2 linked regions of the Drosophila melanogaster genome follow. The protein of the gene in region 1 interacts with the protein of each later gene in a pairwise test. Each region holds a gene or a part of one and is shown in the gene's direction. Other genes may lie near its edges.

Region 1 (3,755 bases):
CGGAATATGCAAGCTCATCGACTTTGTCGATTCCAAACACTCGGCAAAATGAAACTCGATCTTGCAGTACTTTTTTGTTTATCCATTGTTTACACTAGAGGGTCTCAAGAAACGCTCAGATTTATTCGGAAACGTCTAGCCAAAGAAACCGCCTTTGAATTTGGCAAAACCCACAGCGCCGCCAACGAATCCGCCGCCTCCGATGCCACCTAGTCCGCCCAATCCTCCTCCAACGGGATAGCCACCGCCATATCCGTAGCCATAGCTGGGTATCGTCTGTATGACGGGAACAGTGGTGATGATGGGCACAGTGGACACAACGGGAACTGTTTGGATAGCGGGGGCTGCCACTATGGGGGCAGCAACTCCTCCGCCTCCGATGATGCCGCCGCCCACGATACCGCCTCCAACGACTCCGCCACCTCCAAATCCACCAATGTGACGGGGTCTTCTAATGTTCTCCTCGTCGACGCTGGAGAGGATCGGTGTGGTGCTGACCACGGCGCACGCCAAGACGAGCAGGTAGACAGTTTGCCACAACATGATGGGGTTAACTGTTTGGTCTGCCCCACTCCCAGCTGCTTATTTATGCAAATTAATTAGTGGCCACTGTTTGCACTTCCAATTTGCATATTGGGGCGCCCGGGTAAAAAACCCATAACTCTAAGGCCCCATCTATGTTTTGGCGGTTCTATTGGGGGAATCATGGTTTTGCCCACTGGTAAGGTGGTTCACACCTCATCATCGTCATCGTTTGTGGTCTGAAGGTCGCCGGCCTGGGCATTAAAAGCCAGGTGATTTAGTTAAGGTAACTCACATCGTTATTGGACACTCAGCCGAGATGAGGTGCGATCTTCAAGTGCATTTTTTGTTATTACTGGCAATTGGCGCTTGGCGGACTGAAGCCCATTCCCTGGGAGGAGGTGGAATCGGAGCGGTTGGAGGAGTGGCAGCCATTGGCGGAGTTGGTGGCATCGGAGGAGTCCAGCAGGTTCCCGTTGTGCAACAAGTGCCCGTTGTCCAACAGGTTCCCGTCGTGCAACAGGTGCCCCTCATCCAACAGCAGCCGCAAGCTCTTGGCCTAGCAGGTGGAGGTGGATTCATTGGTGGCGGAATCGGAGGTGGTGCCGGTTTTGGACGCTACAAGGAAAGCTATCGCGTGCGAGCGAGGGGATTCGGTGGTGGATACCGCGCCCGGTACGACAAAAAATTTGGAGGAGGATTCGCCGGACTTGGTGCTGCTGGAGGAGCGGGCTTAGCTGGTGGCGGTCTGCTGGGATAAATACAAGCATGCTATGTAGTTTAATAACCAATTATAATAAATTGTATTAGTACCATTAATATGTTTATTTTTAACAATGAGACTTTGTTTATAACTAAAGCAGACGCACTTTCTTAAGGATAAGTATTTACAAGCTAATTAATAACAATCAATTCATATGCCGAATTATGGTAACATAATCCTGAGAACTTGCTCCTGAACACCCTGTATTTCTTCCGCTCTGCATTTCTGCTGACCTGCGCAGATTCCACCCCCAGCAAAAGTCCAATTGGCGCTCTGTGCTCTCCCACTTTATGATTTCCCACTCTCTGGTGGTGCATTTCGTCCCATTCATTTCCGTTGTTCTTCTACTTACTCAATATATCACGAGCACGCTCTAAATTTCTTTTACTCTTGTTTTGACTTGTAAAGAGAGTGGTACAGTGGTTTACATTACAGTACATTTTTTCAAAATACAATAAGTTACAATGGATATGCTTTCGAAAAGAATTTTTTTTGAAATATACATATGTGTTTAAAAATATAGATTATTATTATCATTTTGATTTGTATCTGCAAAATGTTACATTTAAATATTAAATAAAGAAAGCTTGTTTACTAAAATCCACAATACTATAAGTTATCAAAGTTTTCCATAACAAATAGTATGCGGATTTAGTTCTAAGAGTAAGTGTTAAGAGTACCAAGTTTGGCGCTCTTTAAAGAGCTGGACAGATTCGCGAGATGGCAGTTCCCTCGACGTGGAAATGAATTCCTGAAATTAAACGTTGTTCTTTGCCCGTCGTGTGCAGTCGCTCTCGCTCCCGTTATTCGCCGTTCTGGGATTCCCGCTGGCGGACTCTGGTGGCCATCACCTTGATAATCCTTATTGTGAAATATGTGAAGTGCTGCAAAGAGTCTAAGGATATCCTGATATATTAACGGTTAACTAAACTAGTGCGCAATATTAGAGGCCTAAAAATAGCGAAAATAGCAGACATGCCGTGTTTTTGTGCCTCTGTGTGTGCGTGAGTGTCTGCGAGTGAAGTGGAAATTTAAAAATAAAACAACGCTGGGACTCAACCGAAATCCGTCTGTATCGTATTGGCCAACTGCCCAGAAAAACTCCAGGTGATAAGCTCCATTCGAATTATTGTTCGTTTTCTTCTTTTTGGCCAGATTTTGTTGTTAATTGAATGCTCGGGGGAAAACTTTTAACACTCTCTCAGCTGTCAGTCTCTCTCTCTCTCTCTCAGCGATTTCAATGTCTTTATGACTTTCTCTTAAGCCACCGCTATTTTCAGTATGACCAGATTATCTCTTTCGTTCGGACTTAAGGAACACAGTGCAATTACTTGAAGTTTTCAATTACCCTAAATAGAAGGAGAGATTGGGGGGCGTTGAAGTCCTGGCACCTGCCTTATCTACTCGCCATAAGGACTGTCTCTTATGCCGCCCCATGCCACCCACTTTCGCAATTGACGAACCCCGGGCAACGTCATTATTCCGCTTTTCGCCAGACCTCTTGGCCCCTCTCGGCTTTTCTCAGTGTAATTAGTGTGATTGGGGCCAGTCTTGACTCGCTTTCTTGGCTTCTGCTTGCCATTTGGCTGATTGACAGCAGTAATAGTGGCAAATGCAACAAGCCCCCACAGGGAATTGCCTTGAAAGTACGGAAAGCTGTCCAAAATAATACCTTTACCAAGTTAAAAGTTGTACACCTAGCTGTAACATCATTCGTAGAAAGCAAATTCTGAACCAGATTCTACATATGTTGAGAATGGAGACTAGAGAGACTAGCTAACTAGAGATTCCTTGAACAATACAAAATGGTGTGTTTGTATTTTCTCAATTTCTCAAAAATCTGCACAAATTGTAAAACAGCGCTTCCTAAAACAACCCATTTGTTTTTACAAGTAAATTGTAATTGATGTGAGAAGGTAGTGCTTGTACACGATGGTGGTAGTTTAGACAACGGTTGATATCCTGTGGTTTAAACTTACCACCCTCTGGAATAAAATAACCTCAAATGGCGCTGCATCCCTCGGATCCCACGCACTGACGTCGCTGCAACTGAAACCCTGAAAATTGAAATTTTAGCTCGTGCTTCTGCTGGGTGGCTGTGTGTGCCGACGAGTATGTAGTTCAAGGTCGTTGGCCAACTTTCGGAAAGTGTCGGAGGGCCAAGATGTGCGTTTTTCTCATTACCATATAGGGAAACAGAAGCGCGAGAGGCCGTGGCAAGTTGAAGGACACGCGAGTGCCACACTTGAGACGCTATTCTTGGGCTCCAGAGGCGTCCATTCAGTTGACACTAATCACCACCCACGTACCACAAAGCGTGACACTAATGAGCACCGGTCATGCAATAGGGCAGCGTGTTGGTGACCTCTTGGAATGTGGCACCTGGCCAAGACCAGTCCTGCAGCACGGCAACAGGATGCGCAGTCATTGAACAGTTAATGGAGTGCAGATTGCAACAAGGGGCGCCAAC
Region 2 (3,226 bases), on another chromosome or scaffold:
ATTGTTTGCTAGCAAACTTACCTTGGGATCCGGCAGAGTGTGGCATATCTGAAAATATAGAACTCATTGAAGCCTAAATTGTGGAACAAACCGATGAATAGTTACCCCCTGAGCGATGAACAGACAGCCCAGCAAAACGAATTGGAGCGGCAACATCTCGCAGATCTCGACTGACACTCACGTCTCGAACTTCCGACGATCGACAGAACTATGAGTTGACTGGGTGGAATGCGCTGCAATTAAATGCAACCACGATCCCAACCCGTTCGACTGGAAATCACCAAGGTGAGAGCGTCGGGGCCCGGGGTTATCAGCCTGGGGATTACACGATAGGGAAATCAGAAGCCCATAACTCAATCTCATATGCGCAAATCATCAATTATCATTTTCCCGAATCTAGGAGCCTTTAACTTACTTACTAGTTCTTAATGCACCGAAAGAAAACTCCAAGCAGTCCCACATTCAGTGAAGAACCTTGTACTCAGATTTACACGATCGAAAGCATTAAATATTATATGCAAATATTAAAAACTCATGAAAATATAATCTAAAAGTTGTTTATTGTGTTAGGAAGTACATTTCAAGATTGAAATAAAACTAAGATATTATTGACTATCTGGACTCGGAGATTTTTCACAGTATTTATCGGAGAGTGTTAGTAGAGTCCGTAGCCGTAGGGCGAACCATATCCGCCTCCTGGACGCGGAAAGCTGGGCACAGAGATCACTGGTCTTCGGGGAATCAAATAGACCTGCGGGTAGCTAAATCCTGGTGGCTTCAGAGCCACATCCTCGTCCTTATCCTTTTCACCAGACTTGTCCTTGGGCTTATCTTCGCCGGAGTCTTCTTCGTGATCGTGATTGTGGTTGTGGGGGTATCCGAAACCGGGACTGGGAGGTCCGTATCCTGGGAAGCTGGGCCAGTTACGAGGCTGAGGGAACACCTGGGGTTGGTAGGGCGAGTACGGTGATCTGAAGGTCGGATAGGAGGGATATCCAGACAGCTCCGGCGATTCCTTGTCCGCATCTTTGGCAGTGGGCGGTGTGGTCGATGGAGGAGTAAGCTTAGGTCCCGCGGCAGAGAATATCACTCCTGGATGGGGGTAGGGATACTGAATGGGGTAGGGATAGGGGTGAGGATGCGGATAAGAATGGGGATGAAAGTGGGGCTCATGCTTATGGGGCTTTGGCGTTGTGGTGGTGGTCGTCGTAGGGGTCGTGGTTTCCGGTTCCGGAGTGGTGGACTCTGGAAGCGCAGATCCATCATTGTTTTGTTGCAAGCCATCATCCAGTTGACCCAGTCCGTCATCGGGAGCAGCGGTGGCCTCACCCTCCTGCTCTATTGCGGGCTTCGTGGTGGTTTCTGGCTTTGGAGTTGTGGTTTCCGGCTCGGGAGTGGTGGTGGTCACCTTCTTGTGGGGATGATGAGGCTGATATTGGGGGGGCAGGTGGGGCTCCGGCAGATGCGTATCATCGGTAGTCTCCTCTTCGCTGTAAAGCGAGGCATCGATTTGCTTTTTAGCCTCGTCGAGCGACAACTGAGCGTAACTCAGCGCCAGCAGCTAGAATTAAAATGTATGTTAAGTTAATCATAGTTCGAGCCATTTTGTCCTGGCCAAGATCTGGCACCAACCTGGCTAATTAGAAGCAACTTGATGAACATCCCAACCGACTGAGTTCAACTAGCAAGGGCCAAGCGAAAACTGATTGTTCTCTGCCGGCCATAGCTGACTTATATAGCTCCAGAATCGCCCACCATTATGGAAATCGGTAAGCCAACAATTACAGACAGCCCCAGAGCAATCAGCTCTCTATCTCTCTCGAAAAACCCGATTGGCATCAGGTGTTGGATGCGTCTGCCGGAATTTCCCGGACTGCGTTCGCAAATTAAAGATCGCCATCTATCAGTTGGTCACTAAGAGAATTAGTTCTGCCCGCAGAACCAGGCAGCGATTCCCGCAATCAATTTAGAACTGCTCCAATCGATTCCACCTGCGCAGCGACTATAAAAGGTGGCTTTGCCCAGTCGGCGCTTCTGGTTTCGACGCAGTATAGGTACACATACTATGTGTCAGGTGTGACGATAGGCATGGCGAAACTTGAACTGAAGCTGGTGAGTGCCAATGGGGCATTCCCTCATTATTGCACATAATCGAACGTTTCTTTGTTCTAGATTGGAATCGCTATATTCTTGGTAGCCGCGCTCGAGGCTCAGGAAACCCCTGCGGCTGAATCATCTCCAGCGTCCCCAACAGATGGCGAAACGTCTCCAGTTACAGAAGCCAGTTCCATCGGAGAATTAACTCAGACCACAGAAGCGGGGTCGGAGGTCACAGAATCACCAACAAATAGCACCGATATGGTTAATAGCACGGACAACCCAGACCCGAACGGCTCGCCTGACCCTGAAAATGGAGGAGATCCATTTGTGAAGCCAGGAAGCCATATAAAGGGACCTCGACACGTTAGAGCACATGATGGCTTCCACAGCCTGAAGACGGAGAAGCATTGGGCAAGCTGGAACGATGCCTTTACCACGCCACGTCCCTAGCTCATATGTATATCCCATTATACCCTTTCGTTTTGTGACCAATCTCTGAAGATTATTGAATAAAAAACTAAATAATTTTAATATATTCCGTCGAAATTCGGGAACACCCTATGTGGTTTTACCAAGAACTTCACAGATGACGAATTGAATTAGTCGCCAGTCTATTGTTTCCCAATGCGGTTGATTTTTTTCTGCTTGGTAAGTAGAGATAAAGAAATAGTAACATTTTTATCGTATATATTATATTTTCACATCAGTGCCTCTTTTTGTCCCTGGAGCTAGTAGTGCCCAGACATGTCGTGGGCCACGATGGATACCACAACATCGAGAAGGAAAAGCGCTGGAAAAACTGGCCAGCACGTGTGAGGCACCACCATAAACAACGTAACTCCATCTGATGTCCGACAAGGTTGGGATTGCACGCGATTACTTATGGCCCGTTGCAAAGTCGTTCACAGGGCCATAATGCCTCGGATCTCGCCAGACAATGGGAAGCGGAAGCCTTGTTCATCATATCAATGGATCACTGCTTAATTGAACATTTCCACTGTTCGAATGTGTAAATAATAAATTGAATCGCATTAATTGTTGCTATCCAAGCGATATACATTTCAAATGAGGAGAAATGGATTTTATAAATATAAATTGACCCTTTCTTTAGAATGAGTAACCCCCT

What was found.
Region 2: the proteins of metro (region 1) and CG13965 interact in a two-hybrid assay, tested with the Drosophila melanogaster proteins (one large-scale study listed by BioGRID).

What each region holds. Positions count from the first base shown.
Region 1 is NT_033778.4:11,230,791-11,234,545, reverse strand, and holds the start of metro (menage a trois), read left to right. Parts: upstream 1-2,029; 5' UTR 2,030-2,392; intron 2,393-3,755. Other genes in the region: CG13228 (uncharacterized protein), read right to left, coding at 136-543; CG13218 (uncharacterized protein), read left to right, coding at 842-1,282.
Region 2 is NT_033779.5:19,961,161-19,964,386, reverse strand, and holds CG13965 (uncharacterized protein), read left to right. Parts: upstream 1-2,034; 5' UTR 2,035-2,088; coding exon 2,089-2,112; intron 2,113-2,172; coding exon 2,173-2,550; 3' UTR 2,551-2,629; downstream 2,630-3,226. Other genes in the region: CG10680 (uncharacterized protein), read right to left, coding at 22-48, 106-156; CG16772 (uncharacterized protein), read right to left, coding at 656-1,561, 1,633-1,662; CG42866 (uncharacterized protein), read left to right, coding at 2,725-2,748, 2,808-2,948.